Alligator mississippiensis: one gene and its partners. The protein of the gene in region 1 interacts with the protein of each later gene in a pairwise test. Links are inferred from orthologs where the notes say so. Each region holds a gene or a part of one and is shown in the gene's direction. Other genes may lie near its edges.

Region 1 (7,925 bases):
CTGTCCCCTTCCCGATCTGCTGTGTGCCACATGCAGAGGCTGCTCATGTCACTTGTCACACTCATGCCTCAGATTGGCCACCCCTGTTCTAGAGTAACCTACAGTTATAATCCTAAAGATACATGGCATTCTTATACTACAGGAACCTAACCTAACAATACCAATTATGTGAATTTTAACCTTTATTTCTTCCATACATATTCAAACTGTCTTTTAATACATGTCTGTATCACACCTAATCCCTAGGGTCCCACTCTCATGAGGTTTTTTGTGTGTCTGCCATACAGGTTTTGAAAACTTGCACAATTTAATAGTGTGCTAGAGATTTTCACAGATTAGTCCCACACTAGACATGAGGCCATGATTTACTGATGACAGAGTTTTTTCAAATTCATCTGAGAGCAGCTAAATTCGACAGTGGTATTTGCCAGCAAACACAAATGTTGCTTTTTATGCTAATTAAGCTGAGGTAAGCTCCATGAGAAATGAGGTAGGGTCCTGAAAGGTTGTTGGTTTGGATACTGGGATTTTACGCAGAGGAGGGAAAGAAGAAATCTTTGGAAAATGCGGGCTCAACTGTGTTCCTATTGAAAACAATGGGGTGAGACCTTTGACTCTGTCTTCCCAAATGACCCTGGGGAAAAAAGGGTGCTTAGAAGCTAAGGTCTGGCTAGGACAGAATACCTACAATGCAACTTCTGTCTTCCAACTATTTTCTCACAAGCATGCTGGCCATGTCAGAAGCCAGGCCTTATACTACAGGAAGTGCTATGGCTCGCGGGGGATAGTCCCTGGAGGCTGCCCTAACTTAAGGAGAAGGCAGGATAGGTTTGCACCTTAAAGACTAATGAAAATGGAGATATCTAAGCTTTCTTAAGCAGTACCTTGCTTCATCAAATGCTCTGAGGGTCATCATAGCATCTGTTAAAAACAAGCCACAGCTTACAAAGGCTTTAGGCATCTCTGATTTCAGTAGCCTATAAGGTACAAATCTATCCTGCCTTTCCCCAACTTCAGACTCATACAGGTAACTGCCTCTCTCTGCCATAACTTAGGCAAGCCTCCCAAGGGTCACACCGCAGTGAGAAGCTTGGATTTTTTCCCCCCATTATTTGAGCCAAGTGAAAAAATGTATGTCATGAAAAAAAAACCCTTTGGTTTTCCTTTCTGGTTCTCATGCACAGTCCCAAAGCATGGGAGGGGGATGTGGTCATGCCCCTGCTGGAGAACATTTACATTTGGGGAAAGTAACAGGAGCAAAATTTTCTCCCCAAGCATGTTTTTTATTCAGCTTAGATTTTGTAAGCCACTCCCTGTGACACTTCACTTTCTAGAAGTCTAGCTCACCACTAACTATACTGCTACTACTGGTATTGCTGGTTTTTTTCCAGTGAACTTGACTTAGGAAAATAGTATTATTTCATGCTGAGTTGTCCTCCCCCCCTCTGATGGGCTGAGGTATCTGGGAAGGCAAAGCAGAATATTTTCATTTACTATATGGCTATAAAAATAGGAAGAGAATGCCCTTGTGTTTATATCAATTTTGAGTCAAAAGCTATGGGTTTTATAGTTGCCTTTGCTTCAGAATTCCTATGCAACCTTGGGGAAATAAGTGATTTTTTGTGCCTCAACTACCTTGCCTCTAAGATGCAGGTGGTTACCTCATGGGCATTACTTCATCAGCATTTGCAAAGCCTGAAGATACAAGTAATGTTGTGTCAGGAGATGCTTTAGCCATGTCTCCACATTGCCAGAACTAAGCTGTTGTAAACGTTTTCACCAAGCATGCTAAAAACCAAAGCTGATGTATGGTTCAGAAATATACTTCTAGGTGCTGCTGGTACCTTTTGCAAAAAGAAAAATTAACCCAAATCATGTTTTAATATGATGCCACACTTCTGACCCTGCTTATTCTAGCAATCCAGTTATAGTAGGCATTACAGTGCAACAACCAAACCTGAGTATCATCTCTAATAGACTTATCTTTTTCAATAGTGTTCTGGGAAAATTTTAAATCCTATTACACCCTTTAAACAATGAAATGTATCAGGTTGTGTAAAGCACTAGGCCAGTGCTGATTCTCCCCCTGCAAAAGTACAGTAGTCCTGAAACACCTCCCATCCCCTTGTTCTGAAGAAGTTAAATTGTTAAGTAGTTGTATGGATACAGCATAATTGGTCATGCCACTAATTGTTTTTAACAAAGCAATGGACTACCTGCAGCTGTGCTCTTAAAGGGGATTATTTACAAAGCAAAATACCTCAACTGCTTAACCCTCACCTAATAAGGAACAGACTCTCAACATTTCCTTTAATTAGGAAAGAATCTTTTCTTGCTTTCATTGGTCTGCTCAGGTATCAGAAGATGGCTTTTTTTTTCCCCTTAAACCAGAAATACTTTTATTGGTATAGGAAGAAAGACCTATAATGCACTTAGGCCAGAATTTTGCATTAGACAGAAAAAGATTGTTGCGCCCCCTCAAATCAAGCATTTGCCATATGTCCACAGCCAGCGAGGCATTTAAAACCCTCACCAATACAAATGCACCACTGTATTTTACATCAAAGACAGATTTCAGGGAAGAAAAGAGATTAAATTATTACAGTACTACTGATTAAGAGTGTTGTGTTATTTTGTTTTTGGCAGATGCAACACTGGATGTTCTTTCGGCATAGGTGGTTGGTATTTTTTTTTTTTTTTAGCACTCAAGTTCTGGTAGTCTTAAAGTTTCAGCTAAATACCTCAAAACATGCATGTGTACTGTCTACTTGAAATCTACTTCAACTGCATGCTACTAAGCCTGAAGAAGTCTACACTACTCAACCATGGTCACTTTGCTGTTTTTGGATAGACAAGGAATATGTGATCAGACAAACACTAACTCAGGGTTGTCCTGGCATCCTAGGGCGCCTTGAGATCCTCTCAAGGATGATTTGTGGGGAGAGGGGGCTTCTTGGCTTTTTGCAACAGAATAATTGCTCTATTTTTCAGTAGTCAAAAACAAGTATAAGCTCAGAGCTGACATTTCCTAGGGAGCCCCCACTGTAACCAGGCTGAGGAGCACTCGCTGACTGGTTGCACTTTCCTCTAGCTCCAGTGGCTGTTCTAGCTATGCCTCAACAGTGCCACCCCCTCACTGAAAGCCAGCTTGGAGAGCAGTAGTTCCCCACTAGTCCGGAGTCAGGGTAGCTCCACTAGGCTAAAAAAACCCAACCAGATAACTAGCTTGATTCACACCAGAACATTTTGTGTTACATCAAGTCTAAATCTTACAGACAACTAATCTCAATGTCCCACATTACATACAATTTTTTTGAATTAGCAATGATCCTTCTGAGGCAGAGTTAATTCAATTTGTCATTTGATGTGACTGGCTGGGCTGCATCTGGTCTTGTTGGGAGTTGTGTCTTGGCCTCCTCAGGGCCACATAAGACCAACAGTCTGTTTTTGCTGCTGCCTAGCGCAGTGTGCCTCTGAGCCACAGTCACCAAGATCACCTCAGGCCCAGCACTTCTCCCTCAGGCAAGCACCTGTGGAGCCATCTGTCTTGCTCCATTTTGCCAGGTCACTTCTAACCTGTCAGGCTGTGAAAATAGCCAGCCAGTTTGTTGTAGCCCTGATTAGGCCAGAATAGGACTTGCACCAAAATAGCTATATGGCCCACTCCTTTGCACATGAGGGGTGAAAACCAGTGTTGCCCAACGTCTCATTTGTGCCATCAAAATTTCTGTGGCAGTGCAGGCACTAAGGCAACAGGCATCGGTTCCCGTTGCTGTACTGCATGAAAGGCAAATCAGCGGTGCAACAAGGTAGGAACAGACTCTGCTGCTTTATCACCAGGGGTGCACGTTCCCCCTGCAGACTGCCCCAGCTGCTTGCACTCTCCTGCCACCCCAGGAGGTGCTCTGGGGGCCTGAGGGTTGCCTCAAGCCCTGGGAAGACCAGGCTGCGCTCCCCAGGGCGCTGAGGGTGGCACCTGGGCTGGCTGCCCCAGTCACCAGGCGGTAGTTATGCTGCTGCTGAGACCAACACAGGGAACTGCCTCTGTGCACTTTATGTGAGGCGAGTTCAGTCAGCCAGGCTCTCCCTGGGCCAGGGAAGCACAGGCAGCCCTTGCCCTGGGGAGGGGGAAAGCCCCTCCGGGCTGCAGGGAGCAGAGCAGAGACCAGGCCTGGTCCCGGCCGTGGGGGGCGCCTGGGCCTGGCTTCGGCTCCGATGGTGGCGTGGCCCGGGGGCCAGGACTTGGGCCGAGCCCCGGCCGTACCGTGCGCAGCGCCTGGGTGGCGGCGGCCAGGCGGGCCTGCAGGGCAGCGCGGCGCAGCTCGGCCAGCGGCTCGCAGTAGGCGGAGTCCGGGTCGCGGGCGAAGAGCGCGTCCAGCACCAGGCGGCGGCCGCACAGGTCCAGCGCCCGCGCCAGGTAGCGCTCGAGCCGGCGGCACAGCTCGTCCATGGCCGCCGCCTCCTCCTCGGCCGGGCCCGCGGCGAACAGCAGCGCCCACAGCCCGCGGGCGCGACCCTCCAGCAGCGCGGGCGGCAGCGGCGGGAAGCAGGGCTCCAGGCCCGCGCTCAGCGCCGCCAGCTGCCGGTGCACGCCCAGCAGCGCCCGCGCCGAGAACAGCCCGGCCCAGCTGCGCTCCGCCGCCGCCGCCGCCGCCGCCTCGCCCGGCCCCGGCCCCGGCCCCGGCCCCGGGCCGCCCCGGCCCGCGCGGCTGTGGCACGTCACGGCGAACTGGGCCTCGGCCGCGTTCCAGCCCACGAGGAAGCGCAGCGCGCCCGGCTCCGGCTCGGCGAAGGCGGCCTGGCGCACGGCCACCCACCCCTCCAGGCTGTCGGGCTGCGCCGCCGCCGCCATTGCCCCCGCGCCCCGCGGGGCGGCGGAAGGGAAAGTGACATGGCCTGGGCTGGCGGGTGTTGGGCACCGTCACCGCGGCCGAGGCTGCCCATTGGTGGCTTCACTTGGGGGGAGGAGCCAAAGAGTTACCCCCGGAAGTGACGTAAAGGTGCAGGAGGAAGGGGGCAAGAGGGAGCTGCTGCTGCAAGTGACGAGTGAGGGCAGGTGCTTGTGGACTGCGGGGGAGGGTTGTACTTGAAAGCGCAGCACTGGAGGGTTCCCCCTACACACCACTACACCCCGCCTCCACCCACACCTACAACCCCCTTCACACACACACAGCACTACACCTCCACCCACACACCCACCACTACAATCTCCTCCACACACACACACACACACACACACACAGCACTACACCTCCACCCACACTCCCACCACTACAACCCCCTCTACAAACACCCTGCCACACAGAGCACTATAACCTCCACCCCCCCTCAACCTCTTTCTACACACTCACACACAGTACTAGAACCACCCTCTGCTCCACACACACCACCACAAATCTCTAGACACACACACACACACACACACACACAGCACTACAATTCCCCTCTAGACACACCACACAGAGCACTACAATTCCCCTTTCCACACACACTGTCTCTCCCTGCCTCCCTCCCTCCCTCTCTAGCTGGTTCAGAGTCATGGGCTGCCCCAGTTGCCCTTTGCCCAGCCTTGCACTTGATCTGACACCCAGAGGTGTGAGAGGGCAGCCGGGCACCCAGGGACAGCAGGTTGCACAGGGGCACTGGCAGTGTCTGGTGGCTGCCGTGCCACCGGTGCTGTTGTGCAGCTGTGTTGGGCAGTGTTATTTTTCTGCCCTTTCCCTGCCACTGTGCTGGCACCTGGGCCAGTGGCCCCAGTCACCACGTGCTAGTTATGCTGCTGCTGCTGAGACCAACACAGGGACCTGCCTCTGTGCACTTTGTTAAACATGGTTAGTTCTCCTAGGTTTAATTCAGAAGCAGAGCATGGGAGCACAGCAAACATCTGCAGCCCCTGAGGAATTGCTTGAGCACAAATAATCCACGTAGGAAATGGAGAGGGATGGGTGCCCTTCACTTTTATGTTGAGGGGAGTTATGTGACTGGAACATTTACTGAGAAATAGTGCATGCATCCACTACTGCTTCTAATACAAATGACTGAAGCATGGCCATCCTGCTGTCCCTCATCCTCCTGCCTTCTCCTCACCCCACCCCAGGGTCCTTCAGCAGTTAGGGCACTGAGGTGCAGAAATCCACCCCTGCTGGCATCAGTGTCCAAAAAGCAAACAGAACCAAAACTTTCTCTCCAAACTGTTCCTGGGAATAGCTTTCTCTTATTGCCTGTTCTGCTCCTCGGTAGTCTTTAGCCCTTTTCTTGGTTCAGCTTCCAACCCTTCTATGTTTCAATCAGTCCCTTCTTCCCTTTGCTGGCAGGGAAGGTGAAGCATGCACCTTTGCTGCAGGGTATCACCTTGCAAGATAACTGATCCCATGGAGTCATCCCTAAAACCTGAAGAGTTGGGCTGTGTGCCTAGGCCTTGCCTCATGTGTTTATGGAATGAATAGGCCGGTAGGCAGCAGTTATGGTATGCTCTATCGTACCTTTGTAAGGCTTTATAAAGCATGTCGTTTGGCAGGTTTATCTGATGGATGGAAGACTGCTGCAAAACATACAGATGATATTTGTCATTCAGCCAGAACTTGGTGCTGCTTTTTCTGTATTTAAATACACCAGTCTGGTCTTACTGGGATGGGGCTGCTAGAAATGACAGCTTTGGGGTGAAAGGTGATGTGGATGGTGCTCAGAATGAGAAAAAGAGTGTCTGCCATCCCAGAGCATCTAGATGTTATTGACGGAATTAGTACGGAAAAGGTTAACAGTGATGATATTTATACTGCCCTCTTTAATGTTCAGTATTAAAACCCCACTGACATAAATGAAAGGAATATACCTCTGTGAGACCTACTGTCCTTGTTTACTACTTCAAAGAATCAGGCAGCTCTACACCATTTGAAGTTCTGCTCATGCTTTTCATCTTCATAATCCATTTAAAATGGGCACCCAAGTGCTAGAGACACTCATGAGGTCACAAGAAAAGTCCCTGCATCCACAACTCATCATTTAGAGGAAAACAAACTGAAGGGAGGAAGAAATAAAAATCAAAGGAGGAAAAGAAAGAAGCAGAACCTTTTCCCTTTTGTCCAGTGAAACAGAATACAGCTTGTCAAAGTTGTTATAACTACACTGGCCCTTCCAGCTGTTCAAGATTCATACAGACACCGAGATGGATGAATAGTGAAGGAATTTCACCAGTTTGTCCAACTGCAAGTTATCTGCAATGTTCTTAAATACATTCAATTTCTGTGATTAATGCTTGCTCATGGCTTCTTTGCAAGCAGATCAGTGCCAGGGTTCGAGTTAAGATGTCAGTGTTGTTGACTGGACATTACCTAAAAATGCTATTGTAATCTCTATTGTTATTATTATTATGATTTATGCAATGTCTTTTAATGGGATTAATCAGTGCAAAGTCATTTTCTCTTGATAAGACATTTCACTTATCTAGTCAGCCATTTTCTCTGCATTTAGCCATTTTCTCTGCTATTTTCAGCTTCCAGGTATTTGCAAGGTGCATATATTGATATTAATATAAATAAACATATTTAATACCATGAACCCAGATCTTGTAGAGATGGAGCAGCTTGTGTGTCCCATTGTTCCTCAGAGCTAGGTCTTGCACTTTTGGCAGGGTCACCCATGGTGAACAGGCCTGACGGGAGGTTTCAGATAAACTACAGTCCAACCCCAAGTACTCAACAGCAGATCAGGCAGAAGATGATGACAGGATCTCAATGGCTGTAAAGATAGACGTCTCCTGTCATCTAGGATTCTCCTTGGCCACTGCATCCAGATCTCTACCTTGTTAACGTTACCTGGTTGTTTTCTCACATCAGCTCCCTCCTATTAAATGCAGTCAATGCAGGCTTCTACTACAGGATGATGATGACACATTGCTTGCCTGAACCATAATATTTTCTAGAATC
Region 2 (7,712 bases), on another chromosome or scaffold:
GCGCAGCCCAGCCCAGCGTGCCTGGCTCTATACCCTGCGCGGCCTCGTCAACCTACTGGTGGTTGCCCTGCTGGGAGTGGCTTTCTACTGCATCTACCTGGCCACTGAGTACTCACAGAGCACGCTCAGCCAGGTAACACCCCACCACAATGCTGGTACCTGTCAGTCCTGATGCATAGCCCCCAGGCTTCCCTGTCTTCAGCTCTCCCTGCCCTGCTGGTGCCCCTCACTCCCAACCCAAAGCTCCCAGCCCTGCCCTGGGCTCCCCCAGCCCCACTGGCACCCCTCACTGCCATGGACAGGGCTGGTGTCCGCTCCCCAGGGCACTGCAGCTGTCAGGGGGCATGGGAAGGACCTGCTCTCGCTGAGGGCTGTAGTTACCTCCCCCCATTTCTCCCCTGCAGCAGAGTGTCGCACAGTCCAAGAGCAAGGCTTTCTGGGAACTGCTGGTCTCCTACCTGCCCTCCATCATCATCACGGGAGCCAACCTGGTAGTGCCTATGGCCTTTGGGGTCCTGGTACGCCTGGAGCAATACCCGTTCAGCCAAGAAATCAAATTAACCCTTGTCAGGTACCAGGGATGGGAGGAGCCCTGCCACATCCTGCCTCGTTTTGCCATTCCATGGCCCCTCTAACCGCCTCTGTCTTCCTCCTCTGCCTGGACAGGAGTGTCTTCCTGCGCCTTGCCAGCCTTGTGGTCCTGCTTGTCTCCCTCTGGATGCAGATCACCTGCCACGGGCAGACCGAGGCCTTTGATTGCCGTACCTGTGGCTACAACCACCAGCACTTCCCGGTGAGGCCAGGGCACCTGGGTTGTCTCCCAGCTGGAGAAGTGGAGTCGGTTAGAATAGAGAGGCTGGAGGGAGCAGACTTGACTGCAAGACAATGCCATGATGTGTCTCCCCACAGTGCTGGGAGACCCGGGTGGGGCAGGAGATGTACAAGCTGCTGGTGTTTGACCTGCTGACCATGCTGCTGGTGACACTGCTGGTGGAGTTCCCCCGCAAGTGAGAGGGGGTGGGACCTGGCAGGACAGAGGCTGGGGGATGAGCTGTGGGTTGGAAGGGCTGTGGAGAGTGTCCAGGGTAGGGTGGAAATGACTGGGGGAACTTGTAAGGGAGAGCTGGAAGTGGGGACTGGAGAAGCTTGTAAGGAATGAGCAGTTGGGTGTAGGGGGAGGCTGGGCTGGGCTGGGCCAGGCTGGGCAGGGAGGGTGTAGTGGGGTTCTGGAGAGTCAGGGCAAGGAGCCCATGGGGCTGAGTCAGAGAGCAGAGGGCCAGGCCCTGTCACCTCATCTCCCTCCCCCAGGATCCTGGTAAGCCACGGCCCTGTGTTGCTTGCCCGGCTTTGGGGGCAACAAGAGTTCCTGGTGCCCACCAATGTGCTGGACCTGGTGTACGGCCAGACTGTGTGCTGGGTCGGTGCCTCCTTCTGCCCGCTTCTGCCCCTGCTCAACACCCTCAAGTACATCCTCCTCTTCTACCTCAAGAAGGTGCGCCCCAGATGCCTGGATCCTCTCCTGGCCCTAGGAGGAGCGGAGGGGTCTGGTGGGTTAGAGCAGGGCGGTGGGGCCTGGGAGCCAGGACGCCTGGGTTCTGTCTCAGCTCTGAGAGATGAGTGGGTTAGAACAGGGAGCTCTAGGAGCCAGGACCCCTGGGTTCTCTCCTCCCCTGTGGACCCATCCCTTTCTCCCCTCCCCACAGCTCACCCTTTTCTCCAACTGCCGTCCTGGCGACCGGACCTTCCGCGCCTCCAGCTCCAACTTCTTCTTCCTACTGGTCCTGCTGCTGGGCCTGGCCATCTCCTGGGTGCCGGCGCTATACAGCATCTTTGCGTGAGTCCAACCCCCACACTGACAGTCCCACCCTGTTCCTGCTCCCCTCTCTGATCTTCCTGTGCCAGGGGGAGCAGGGGTTGGGCAGTGGCATCACTCAGTGCCTGGCTTGTTCCCCAGGGGCTGAGTCCTGTCACGCACCCCTGCCTGGTTGCTACAGCCCCAGTTCTTTTCACTCCTTGCCTAAGGGCCAAGGTCCTACTCTCTCCCATGTCCAAGTTTTCCTCTCCTCTCCCTGACCAGTCCCCCCTCTCCTCTTTCTCTCATGCAGCCTCCCACCGTCCCAAGCCTGCGGCCCCTTCCGGGCTGAGTCATCTATGTGGAATGCTGCCTTGTTGGCCATTGACGGGCTGCCTGAGCTGGCCAGGGGCTTCTTCTACTTTGTGGGCTCACTGGGCTTCATCGTGCCACTCTTCCTGCTCCTGTGGTGAGAATTTAGGCTAGGCTGAGGAGGGCTGAGAAGGCTGGGGAATCTCCCTCGGCTGAGAGTACACAGAGAGCAGGGATGCTGTGGGGATGGTGAAGGAGTTATATACGCATGTGCACAGGTGCATACCCACACACATGCACAGCAGCGCCTCTCTCCCAGTCCACAGAGCTCCCTTTCCCTCCTCTCAGTACCCCCTGCCAGGCCCCTGCCCAAGCCATCACTTGATGCCAACCCCTAATTCAGTCCCTGCCGGTCCCCTCCTCCCCCACAGCATCTTCCTGTTCTACCTGATGGCTCTCGCTGACTCCTACAGCCGCCTGGTCAAGGAGCTCAAGATGCAGCTGCAGCTGGTGAGTCACATCCTGGGGCTAGGGCAGGGTTCTGGCTGCCTGGGATGGGGATGGAGAGGGGTACATTCCCCTCTACTGGCTCTGATCTGGGATCTAAGCCCCAGGAACAGCACTAACCAGCAGGACACCCTGAAGAGTGAAGCCAAAAGCTTCATCTTCTTGCTGCTGACAAGGAAACTTCCCCCATGGGCATAACTGTGCCTGCTTTGACCACTAGCCAGGTTCCTGGACCTGGCATACCAGGGGAGGTGGGCCCCTGAGATAATTGAAGGCAGCAGTACTGACCCAGCTGGGTTTCGCTCCCCTTGCAGGAGGGCAGAGACAAAGTCTTCTTGGTGAACCAGATCACAGAGCTGAGCTGAGGGGGCACCATTTGCTCCCCACCCCCCTGCTGATGGGGGAAACTCTCCTCCAGTTGATTTCATGATGATTCTGCACCTGCCCTGGATCCGCACCTGCCAAAGCAATTGCACTTCCCCATGCCAAACCCTGGCCCCAGTGGATGGAAGCTGCAGTCACTGGGACAGCACCAAAGTTTTTGAGGCTGTACGTAGAAATCTCTTAGCTGACCCCGAGCTGCAGCCATCTCTGGGGTGGGGCACGGAGACCTGTTAAGAAGCACACAGTGACACTGCTCAGTTTAGTCCTGGAAGCCAAGGAAACAGCTATACGTCAGTGGTGCTCAACCTATGGCCTGCGGAGCTCCCCACGGGTTTGGGAATTTGGCAACAGGGAAGTGGTAGCAGCGTTAAGGGCTGCAGCTCCGGCTGCCACCGTTCCCCCTGGTGCCAAATATCTAGATCCATGGGGACCCCCCCGGCACTGGATGATATGGATCGCACCCATGGACTGCCCCTGTGCTGGATCAGCCCCACAGACAGACCACATGCGTGGGATCCAACCCATGAACTGGCCCCGTGCCATTCATCCTGCCCATCAGAGAATCACCAAAAGCCATAGAAAAGTTGGGCTGGACAAGACAGGCTGAGTTCTGCTGCTGTAAGTGCCTGGAACAGCAGGGTGAATAAACAGGAGGTGAAATTCAACAGCTGGGAACCAGAAACAATCAAACCTCCATCCATACCCAGGTGAAGTCCATTGGCCTCCAGACGTTATGGGTTTCCCCAGGCAAGCTGTTAGCAGGGATTGTGGACCACAGCTCCACTCCTCCCCGCTGTGGCTCTTTGCAGAAAATGGTCCCCAAGATTTTTTTCCTTGGACTCTGTACCCTACACCTGCCTTTCCTTCCCCAGGGGCAGCACTGCCCCAGCTTCACCAATCACATGACAGCTTTCTCTCTCTCTCTCTGTCAACCGGAGTGTTTTTTCACCCCCTACAATTGGCCACGGCTCTCTGTGGGCTCCTGAGCTGCTGGGGGCCAAGCGTCACCAGCAGAGACGGGTGGTAGGGGAGCAGTGAGAGAAGGGGAGAGAAGGACTCTAGGACCCTGGGGTTGCTACAGGGTGCGCTACCGGGCTGCTATGCCGCGACAGGCACTGCCACTCCATGGGATATGCCATGGCATTACCACATCGCAACTCAGCCTTCACGCCTCTGGGAGGGAAGGACACTGAAGGGGAGGTTTGGTGGGCGTGGGCACATGTGCACACACATGTATGTTCATGACCTGGATCTGGCAGCGAATGAGTGATCACCCGCAGCAGTGACCTCAGGCCTCCCCTAGGGGCCCTAGGGTGGAAGGGGGCTCACGTGGGGGCGGGGCCAGGAATGTGTCAACAGGCAGGAGTAGTAGGATCCAATCAGAAATTACATGGTTCTGGGTGGGGTTTGGTCTTGTGGTTCCAATCAAGGGGCTGTGGCAGGGGGCGTGGCTCTGGTGCACCAATCAGGGACGAGGAGGCTGGGCAGGGAGGTGAGGAAGCCAATCCAGATAGGGAGGTGAGTTAAGTGGGTGTGAGGAGAGAAGGGGCAGTATCCCGGTGGGAGGGAGGCGGCTTCCGCAGGCCAATCAGCACGCACGCTGGGGCAGGCACGAATTTGGTGGGGGGGGGAGGCGGGATAATCACGCACCAATCAAGGAGCGCACAGTTTTGCTCTCCAATCAGAGAGCGAGGGCGGAATCCCTTGCAGCCAAGCAGACATCGCGCCGAGGGGAGTGGGGGGGACTTTAGTGCACCAATGAGATAAAGAACGCAGCAAGCCAATCAGCCAGTGGGTTCGTGACCCGGAAGCGGAAGCGACGGGAGAAGCCTACCTGCAGCACAAACATGAACATCCTCCCCAAGAAGTCTTGGCACGTGCGAAACAAAGACAATGTGGCCCGGGTGCGGCGGGACGAGGCCCAGGCCGAGGATGAGCGGCAGCAGCGGCAGGCTCGGGCCTTGCTGGCCGAGCAGGAGGTGAGTCACTGCGCAGGCGCGGAGCCCGCCCCCCCCCGGGCGCATGCGGGTTGGTCACGTGACTCAGATGGCTCGTGCCTTAAACCATTTTGGAGGGATGTTAGGAGCAGAAATCTGAGCCAAACCATTTCCCGAGGGGGCGGGGCGCAGAAAATCGCTGGGGACTAAAGTGCGGGGAGGGGGAGAGGAGGGAGCTGGTTTGAACCACTTCTGAATTGCGTCAAGGATAAAAGAAAAGTGGAATAAACTGTACTAATGGCAGGGGGAGAGAGGAAAGAAGCTAGATTGTACTGCTTCCAGCTGGGGGGCAGAGGGCAAGGAAGAGATCCTTCCCTAGGAAGTGCCCCCCCTGAGGCTGGAGGGGGAGGCCTCTGGGCCACATTCCTTCTTCCAGCAGTGTGGATTTCAGCTCCCCCGTTGGACAAGAACCCCAGGGCCCTGTGGGCTCCACGCTGCCTCCTCCATGTCTGCAGCTACCTTTGCCCTTGGGTGACATGAATTTGTGGAATCTCAGCCCAGATCCCTGCTGCCTTTATTATGCACAGCAGTAGTACCCCCCAGCTGCCCTGGGGCTGGCCCCCTTCCCCAAGGCCCAACACTGAACGAGCCATAGAGTCCTGCAGGTCCTGGCCCTGAACCCCCCTCCTTCCCTTGACAGCCGTGTCCCCCCTGCAGGCACGGACCAAGTTTCTGAGGAAGAAGGCACGGCTCTTGGCCCTGCCGGAGCCCGATAGCAGCTCGGAGCTGGCCCTCTGCGGTGAGCAGCCACATCACGTCGACCTCTTCCGTGACCTGGAGGATGGCAAGGGCAGCAAGGCAGGGAACAAGGAGTATGAGGAGGAGAAGCTTAAGGAGAAGGTAATGAAAGAAGGTTGGCACATCTGAGGCCCCAGGGGACCTGATCGGACACCTGTGGGGATGGGATGCCCCCACTCATAAGAGCTGTCATTGACTGGGTCACCCTATAGGTGCATTGTGCCCAGTCCCCTGCATCGTGCAGGCAGAGTGCAGATGCTGACGAGTAAACAGGGCATGACTAGGGCTTTTCCCATTGTTCCTCTGTTGCTTGCAGCCTCCCAGCATTTGAGGTCCAGGAAGCTCTGATTCACAGGCTATATTGCTAACTCCCAGGCTCAATAGCTACTGCTGCACTTTTCCTCCAAGAACTTGTCCAGTTGCTTTTTTAATGTGGCTGTCAGCTTCCACTACATCTGCTGGCAACGGGTTCTCAACTTGAGTTGCACAGTGTGTGAAAAAGAGGTTCCTTTAAACTTACTGCCTGCCACTTTCATTTTGTGACCCTTAGTTCTTGTATCATGAGTGACAGCAAATACTAAATGGTGAAAAGAAAGTAGACATGGATTTATTATTTTGTAAACCCTTCTCATGTCCCCTCTCATGCAGCTCTCTTTTTAAGTTGAACAGGCCTAGCTCTTTAGTTCTCCTCATATGGAAGCTCTTCCATACCACTCTGGGGCTCTGATGGGGCAGGGATGTGACTCCACTGTCCATCCCCCCTGCCCCGATTACAGCTGTGCTTGGCCATGGCCCCACAGCATTTGCACCCTGGTGTGTCCATCCCCTACCCCTCAAAATCTTAGAGCTGTATCTCCCGAGTACGGGCCTCAGGCCTTGAGGCCAGTGGAGGGAGTATCCACCCCCATAGGCTGCACTTAAAAAGAATACCCCTCCATTCAGACTCCTATCATACCCCTCCCATGCACAGGAGCACCAGGAGAAGGCCATTGGGCTGCTGACATATCTGGGACAGAGTTCAGCTGAGGCCCAAACCAACCCACCCTGGTACCAGGAGGCCCCAGACTGCAGCAAGGAGGCAGCTGACATGGTCAGGGATGAGAAGCTGAAGGGGAAGCTGGACCCCCTCATAGAGATGGAGAAGTACCTGCGGAAGAAGAAAGGGGAACAAAAGAAACACAAGAAAGAAAAGGAGAGGCACAAGGAGAAGGACAGGCGCAAAGAGGAAAGAAAGGGAGTGGGGTGAGTGGGACATGAGCAGGGCTGGATCCTGGTATTCGGTTTACTGGAGCAGGGCTGGGCCTGTGCTGTAGACTTCTACCTACATATGCCAGCAACTTCAGGCCACAGGGCCCACAGCCTGTCACTCCTTTCTCTTGTCCCTATAAGGGGTGGGAGGCCAAGTGGGAAGTCTTGTACTGCTTTCCCTTCCCCTCTTCATGTCCTGCATACCATTTCTGCTCCCAGCCAGCCCTCACTCCAACTGTCAGGAGGATGTTAACCCCTTGCTTTTTATCCCAGGACCTCTGGCCCCACTTCCCTGGAGGAGCTAAGGCAGGAGCGGCTGCAGCGAGAGAAGGCAGAGCGAGCCAAGGCAGAAGCCCTGCTGGCTGGGATGCGGGGAGGGTCAGTCAGCTGCAGGGAGGAAGTGGAGATGGACGACAGGAGACGCTGCTACAATTCTCAGTTCAACCCACAGCTGGCCCGGAAACCCCGGGACCAGGAGGAGCAGCGCTGAGCTGGGGTGCAGAATGGGGGCTTTGGAGCTCTAGACATGGAACTGCCTGAATAGGCACTATAGCAGGGCCAGGGCTCCAAGGACAGAGAATGGGAAGGCTCCAGCCCTTCAAACCACAAGGATGTTTCTGTTCCAAGGACACAGGATGTCTTTTTTGTTACACCTCCCCTTAACAATGCCTCCCTGGACTGGCAGGTGGGGAGTCCCTCCAGTCCTCCATGGACTTTGCACCTAAGAAGGGGCT
Region 3 (7,820 bases), on another chromosome or scaffold:
CAAGAATAGATCAGTTAATTCTGTTGGCCATATCAGATTCCAATTTGGGCAGTTATATTTTGCCTACTTTAAATTGTCTTTAAATTATTCACCTGCTAAACAGTGTGTTGAATAAACAGTTACTGTGCTGTAGTTCTGAGGCTGCTGTGTTTTTAGTAGATGATATCATTCATTTCATTATTATGTTTTAGCGCACACATATTATGCTGGTTTTGATATAACATGTAATCTATTCTGTGTATATTTTTGGTTATTACACACGTTAATATTTCTTGCACATCAGCACAGCAAATGCTACTTTTACTTTTAAAACATAGAAACAATGACAGGTTCCCAGTCTACTTAGACTTGAAGAGAAAAATAAAACATAATTTGCAGTGATGAGAAAGACAAATAAACCCCTGCCAGAGGAAATCCACCATCATTTCAACTCTTTAATTTCAATAAGGTCAAAACATGGGAAGATATTAATTACATGAATTTTGGCTTATGAAATTCAATAAATATGCGATGGTGATGTTTGCTTGAAGTTTGGTTATTCTTGTTGAAATGGTATGTTTTGAATAGTAAAAATTAAGTTATGCCTTCTCTCACATTTTTGTGGCATTTGATTTTTAATATTTTATTGTATTTTTGTGATGTGTGCATTATGTCCAAGACTCAGAACAATTTCTCTGTGATTGCTACTGCAGAATGAATGCTTGGAAGAATGCACTCAGTCTGAAAGCATGTGTGCATGTCTCAAAGTGCTTCTATTACTATGCCATCTAAGTAGGCAGAATAATTCACAAACTGATAGTTTAGTCATTATGAACCATTAGAAAAAGACAATGCAAATTACTATTGCAATAAACAATGTAGCTGACAGAGTAGGTTGCACCAATCTAAATCGTAATCTAAACTCTGCCCTCTGTGTCAAAATAGAAATGCCGCTCATAATAGATTGTGCAATCCGGCATAACATGGATTGCTCTGTTTTTCATATGTATATACTTTGATCAACAGTTAATTATTTAACTGTATTAGAGATATGGCTAGCAGAATCAACACTAAATTATGTTTCCTATGGGATTTTGTCACCATGTAATATTTTCTTTATTTTACATGGATATATGTTTTATCTTCTACAGGAAGTTTCTCATCTGCCATGCACAGTGATTCCATTGAGTCTACACAGGAAAAACTAACTTTCTGGTAACACCTAGTCGTTTAAGAAGCGATCAGTGATTCAGTATGAATTTCTAATTTGAACAAAATAAAATCAGACACCCCGAAAAGGAGATGCCAAAACTTACTGCTCACTTATGAAGTTCTAATTTGATAGAGCCAGCTCTTAATAAAAACCGACACCTTCCCTAATGTGATTCTTTTCAGGATCTGATTTTATGCAGTTATCAGAATGCGTAAAGCGCCATCTGGTGACTCTCACGTCTATTACACCACTGTGATTCATGGAGCAGATAAACCCTTACAATTACTGCTTTGTGCTCCATCTTCTGGAGACATTTGAGCCATTACCCAGGAGGGCACGTCCAGATATGTAGGAATATGTGCTTTCCCAGGGACAAGTAGCAGTGGCACACTTTGTGCTGCTGCTGCTGCTTGTCCTTGGGGAACACTCATGCCATGTGTGCTTTGGCATGTGGGAAGTTACACCAGGTGGGGTAGAGGAGGCTGGGGCCCGCACAATTGTGGGCCCCAGCAGCCTTACCTGGGTGGGGTCATGGGGGCCTTAAGGAGCTGCAGCACTCCTGCAGCAGAGAGCATGGCCAGCAGCCAGAACATAGCTCCAGCCTGCCAGGCTCCTGTTTTGGGTGAAATGCTCTACTGCCACATGCACCACCGTGGTTTTTTTTGGTGTGGGTTTTTTGGACCACAGGATTTCCAGGGGTAGTACTGCAAAGCATCAGTTCAGGGAACACCTGCAGGTATGGAATGTAGTGCCGAAGATGGGTCTGTGGCGCCACATACCGCACCCCCGTGCCCGTCTAGACATGGTTCAACAGGCCAGTTCAGTTCAACCCATGCAGCCACATCAGAGAAGTGCTCACAACACTACTTATCCAGTGGCCTGCTTGGTCTCTGGAACAGAGCACCACTTACTCAGGTGTTTCTAAGGGCCCTGCTACATGCTCAGTTCAGGCTGGACAAATGCCAGTGATGGGAGGAGATGGAGGTTATACATTTTCAAGCACTTTCTAGCTGGCTGGCTCTTTTTATAGCTGAATACTCATTTTTATTGCACAATTCACCAGTTAATGGTGCAATTGTTACATTGCATGTGTGGCTGGTATCAACTGACTGTGTGAGTCATCTGCAAAATGCATGTAATGCACAGCAGGGGTCTTTACCACATGCCTGGCAGGAGCAGGCTGTCAAGGGAGGTTGCCCTGCATTGGGGCAGCTTGTTTAGTTTTACCCCAACCCTACAGCTGAGATGCCTGGCCCAGTGTGCCCCCTACCTAGCCACCCTGTTAGTCCCTGCAGTGCAGTGTTGCCAGGTCTTAAATATTATTGTATTGGAAGCTCAAAAGTATCGTATTTGATGCAAACTACTGTACACTGGAAAAATATGCAAATATATATGCAAATAACTATGCAAATCAACCTTATCAACTTTATACAGGCGACCCTTGCCATTCGCAGGGGATATGTTCCCTTATCCCCCGTGAATGGCAAAATCCACAAATAAGGCACTGTGCTCATGAATGCAGTGCCCCTGGCAGCTGGCAGGGGTGGGGGCACGGCTCCAGTGGCGACGGCAGGAGCCCAGTGGAAGCTAGTGCGGAGCTCCCAAGGAGTTCCTCCAAGTGTAAAGTGTATTTAAAATGTGGGTTTGGCATTCATGAGTATTTGAAACTGTGAATACTGAACCCACGAATAGAGAGGGTTTCCTGTACTGCTCATTATAACTCGCCAATGAGTGAGTGAGAATTGGGTCATGAAGTTGAAGCATTGCTTTATGTTGAGGCAAGCAGTCATAAGAAAGTGCTGAATGGCAATAGGTGCATGGGTGTGTGGTGCGAACATTGTAACTGGAGTAAAATAGGTTAACTGGTAAAGTGTGTTTTGGGCTGTCAAGTGAACCACAATGGTCATTTGATGAGTTGTTAGAGGTAACACACACACACACACACACACACACACACACACACACACAGGCAGCCCCTGCTTAGTGGTGTTAACTGGTTCCCAAAAAAACAAGTGTTAAGCAGAATGGCATTAAGCGAAACCAATTTTCCAATAAGAATTAATGTAAATAAATATAATTCGTTAATGCGGCTCCCCACTAGCACTATAAAAATCACTCAATTTGGACATCTAATTCAAACTTCTAGATGGACGAGATGAGCTCCTGAAGTCCCTTCCAACCCTAATTTTCTATGATCTAATTCAAACGTTCTAATCCAAAGCCAAATCCAATGGTATACAGACCTCATTCTTGCATTTGCCTGATTCAGTTTGCTTCAGGACATCCAATATAAGCTCCGGCATTAAGCTTTTGTGCTGCTTTTTCTCAGCACTTGCAGTTACAGAGTCGGTTGCACGTTTCTGATGCACGTTTCTGACTCACGATGATTGATTTCAAAGGTCAAAATTAATTGCTAAACGTAAGGCACACAAGTTTTTGATGAACCAAGATGGTGACACAAGCAAATTGGTGCTAAATTGCACAAGGCTGCGTTCCACCGCTGCACTGTGGCTGTAGCGCACATTCCCTGCCGCCAGCTGTACGATGCCCATAAGTGTTACAACAAAACAAAACTCGCTGAGCACTAAGTGGAATTGTGTATCAAGGTAAAATGAGCATTACAGCAAAACAGCGCTAACTGAAACAGCATTAAGTGGGGCTGCCTGTATATGTACATATGTGTGTGTGTGTGTTTTTCTATAGACAGATTTCCCTTCCTTTATGCTGTACACGTGTTCCTGCAAAATGGCACATAACTCGAATTTGCGTAAATGGAACCCACTTTACAATGTAACAAATAGGGATACGTTCCACGACCTCGACTGTACTGACCCCCAGACACATTTCTACCACTTTTATAAGACAATTTTGATACTCACCAACAGCAGACAGCACACACAAGCAGAGGGCACTACCATAATGGGGATGGATGGCAATTACAGAAACACGTGTCACAGACAACGATCCACACAGAAGACTATATTTTGGTGTCACTCCCACAATGCACTGCACAAAGCAGCTGACTGCCGGCTTCCACCACACAGATCGCACAAGAGTGAATTTACCTGCTTTTATAACAAATTTTTGGCATAAGAGTGAATTTGCACGTACAGAGCTCGCATAAATGAGGAAAACTTGTATTTATAGAAATTTATATTAAAGAAGGCAAACCAAAAGTGGGTTAAGACTCTCAGAGAGTGACTCGGGTTTTTCAGGTCACATCAATTAGGTACCTTCAAAATGATGGTGCATTTTGGACAGTTTTACTATTATTAACGGTGCACCGTGCAAGAGTTGAAATGATCCTACAAGTGCCATCACTGTGCATCCGGCAACAAAGCTCCAGTGGGCGAGGGACACCAGCCCTGCCCCGCTGGCCGTGGGGTGCAGGGCGGCCTCCCCGCAGCGGCCCGTAAGAGCCGCCGGAAGGAGCCGCGCGGCCTAGGGGGGAGGCGCGGCGCAGGGCGGGGAAGGGCAGGGTTCCCCCTAGCGGCGGGCGCGGGCGGCGGCGGGGCGCAGGCGTTCGGCGCGGGCAGCCCGGGCCCTGGCGGCGGCTGGCGGCGGGGTCCTGGCGCGGCTGGCGGCGGGGCCGGGCCGGGTGGAGCAGCGGCGGCAGCGGGGCCGGGCGCGGGGCGGAAGATGGCGGACGTGCTGAGCGTGCTGCGGCAGTACAACACGCAGAAGAAGGAGATCGTGGTGAAGGGCGACGAGGTGATCTTCGGCGAGTTCTCCTGGCCCAAGAACGTCAAGACCAACTATGTCATCTGGGGGTGAGTGCCCCCCCTCCCCTTCCCCCTAACTCCTCCCCCTCGCCTCCCAGGGCCGGGGGAGTCTGGACCATGTGCCCCGGGGGCGCCAGACCGGGCCGCGATCCCCCCTCCCTCCCCCGGGGGCTTCCGGCGCCTCCTGTTGCTCGGCGCTGCCGTCCCGCGCGGGGGGTACTGCCCCGGGTCCGGCTGGGGGTAGGAAGGGCCGTGCCCCGTGGTGCTGGAGGCTCTGGTCCTCGCCGGCCGCTGCCCCCAGGTTGGCTTTGGGTGATCGGGCAAACTTGGCCTCTTTGTTTGCTGCCGAGAGGTGCCTGCCCCGCTCCCAGTGTCGATCCGGCCCGCGGGTGGACGCCGACCCCAGCTCCCTGCCATTCTTCCTGCTCCCTGTTTCCAGGCGGTGGGGTCCGGCCCTGCCCGGGCTGGGAGCAGGGAAGTAAACAATGCCCGGAGCTGGCTGGAAACTGGAGCCCAGAGTGTAGCTGGGGGTGTACGCTTCCCCAGGGCTGCTTTGGACCTTCTGCAGGGTCATGGTAGCGGTTAAAAGCTCAAGGATGTTTTGTTTTGTTTTGGTTTTTTCTTCTTTCCCTGAAAAAGAGTCACTGCCCTCCATTACACACATGTACTTCTCAGTAGCCACTCATGGAAGCGCTCTTCAAATGCTAGTGAAAGGTAATGCCTTCCCTGTAGAGGGCTGTGAAACTTGGAGCTTCAGGTGAAAGGGGCAGATGACTTCCCCAAGACCCTCTGCAGGGCTGAGGGAAGAGTAGGGGAGCTGATGTTTCCCCTGGGGTCTGGGGCATTATTTAAAACCTTCTGAATTGGAGTGGGAACGTTGGATTTGTCCGTGTCGCATCTGATCATCGATTCGGTGTTCTAAACTGGAACATCCGGGAGGCAAAAAGTAACTGACGGCATGGGGCTAGTTCTAGGGCAGTGGTTCTCAATGTCTTTTTTTGTACCAGGACCTGTTTGTAAACATTGATGGCCAGTCCCGACCCAGTGCCCCTCACCCTCTTGAAGTGCTGCCTCCGGCCCCCAGTGTGGTGATGGTAGTGGTGGGGGTGGCGGGGCAGGCCCTTGCAGGCCAGACCTCTGCCAGCCTGCAAGGGAAAAACCACAGTTTCTCACGTTTTCCTCCTTTAAAAGAGAATCCATTTTTAAAGTTTCTTTGCAACCCCTTCGTATATTCTTGTAACCCCCTTTTGGGTTGGGATCTACGGGTTGAGTAACCCTGTTCTAGTGTGCTTCTGGTAATTTGGAGATAAATTTGTGGATTTCTTTTTGACCAGTGCAAGTAACCAGCTTATACACCATTAATTTGTTACTGTTCTTCAAGGGTTTCTCAAAGACATTAAAGAGTCTTTGAGCACATCCTGGTGCTGCGTGGAAAGGCCTTCTGCAATCTGCAGGCAGGAGAAGTGTGTGCAAAAATATGAAATGGTTTTGTGCTGTCAGCATGAGCAGTTGTGCAGACTATTCTGGTGTCTGTTGTTCTGAGCCTTCCCAAGCAGCAACAAGTAAGTTGCTGTTAGGTTTCGCTGCTGCTATTCAGAACCATGCGGGGAGCAGAGAATCTTGCCTGTCAGCCAAGCTCTGCTGCTGCATAGGCAAGTTTTTAAGCAGTGGTTGAGGCAGGCACAGAAGTGCCTTGGGTGTGAGGGAAGGGAGAAACAAGAAGATCTGGGTGGGTGAAAGGAGAGTGCTGTTTGGCAGCCAGAGTGTTTAGGAAGGAGAGCTGATCCAAAGAAGTTGCTGTGAGCGGGGCCCGAGAACAGCACAGTGAGAATCCTGCCATCATCTTTCTCCTAACGCTGTGTGCATGTTGGCTGTTTACTCAGCTTCCTTGGTGGCTGTTCTCTCTTTTCTTTTTAGCCTGATTACATGTGTTCAGTAACTCTTTCAAATGTTGATCTGCAGTGCATTCACATAGCTGCTCAATTTATGTGGTGGCTATGGGGACCAGGATTACCTGCTTTTAGAAAAATTGGTACTTGGATTCCAATTTTTTTAATACATTTGGATTCTGTCCAGTGGCTTCCACACAAGTAATTGGTTGTGTGTAATACATTGAGATGACACTATCTTTGGACCAGTGTTCAAACTTGGTGTCCTCAGCTCTTAATACATGAGTGGGTGTGTCAAATGAGTGTGATTTCAGTCCTACACTTAGTAAAATGTCATTACTTGATACTTTAGTTGTTAGTAGGCTTTTTTTGATTATGATCTGGATAATCGAAGTAGTAGCGAAGGTGGGATGATCCTCCAAATCTTTAGAAGTAGTCTCTCTAGAACTAAGTTTAGGTAAGTCAAAGGGCAGTAGGAGAAGTTGTTGCTTCTTGGATCTGTTTCCTGGATAGAGGGTTTCTGCTTCTAGGCTTGGTAGGTTCAGAGTGTTCTTTAAGCATTATGTTTACTTATAAGTCAACTGCATTGTTTATCTCAAGTGGATATAGTGCGTTTACCCCTCTCATTTATAGCTTGATCATTATGTTTTATTATTGACATATATAGGTTTTTTTTTTGTTTTTTTTTTGCTGGTGTACAGGTGTCAGTCTTTTGTTTGATGGTTGTTCTCCCTGACACCTCAGAACCGGAGACAGACTTCAGGTGGAGGCAGATTCCTCTCTTGCAGTCCATTTGCCCCTTCTGTTCAGTAAGCTGTAAGGTTAAAAGGATGAATAGTTGATTGCTGTTGCAGTAACTTGTCTAATATAATGGACATTTGTTTTGTGTGTGTCATCTGGTTCTAACAGGTTGCACACACTACTGCTTTTCTTTTGAGGGCACATGTGAAAGCTGATGCCTTTGGAAGAGAAAATACGTCACTGGTGGAATAATAAACTCTTGGCCCTCATAGAGTG

What was found.
Region 2: the proteins of FSD2 (region 1) and LENG1 interact in binary tests that used the Homo sapiens proteins (3 or more experiments, as listed by UniProt). The two-hybrid records come from large-scale screens. The link is inferred for Alligator mississippiensis from reciprocal best matches to the Homo sapiens genes FSD2 and LENG1.
Region 3: the proteins of FSD2 (region 1) and CDC73 interact in binary tests that used the Homo sapiens proteins (3 or more experiments, as listed by UniProt). The two-hybrid records come from large-scale screens. The link is inferred for Alligator mississippiensis from reciprocal best matches to the Homo sapiens genes FSD2 and CDC73.

The regions. Positions count from the first base shown.
Region 1 is NC_081834.1:18,309,570-18,317,494, forward strand, and holds the start of FSD2 (fibronectin type III and SPRY domain-containing protein 2), read left to right. Parts: upstream 1-4,894; 5' UTR 4,895-5,046; intron 5,047-7,925. Other genes in the region: WHAMM (WASP homolog-associated protein with actin, membranes and microtubules), read right to left, coding at 4,265-4,852.
Region 2 is NC_081828.1:38,487,575-38,495,286, reverse strand, and holds the start of LENG1 (leukocyte receptor cluster member 1), read left to right. Parts: upstream 1-4,664; 5' UTR 4,665-4,842; coding exon 4,843-4,974; intron 4,975-5,649; coding exon 5,650-5,832; intron 5,833-6,700; coding exon 6,701-6,972; intron 6,973-7,251; coding exon 7,252-7,468; 3' UTR 7,469-7,712. Other genes in the region: TMC4 (transmembrane channel-like protein 4), read left to right, coding at 1-133, 405-571, 667-793, 910-1,007, 1,309-1,492, 1,704-1,834, 2,106-2,261, 2,536-2,614 and 1 more.
Region 3 is NC_081828.1:62,038,401-62,046,220, forward strand, and holds the start of CDC73 (parafibromin), read left to right. Parts: upstream 1-4,772; 5' UTR 4,773-4,831; coding exon 4,832-4,962; intron 4,963-7,820.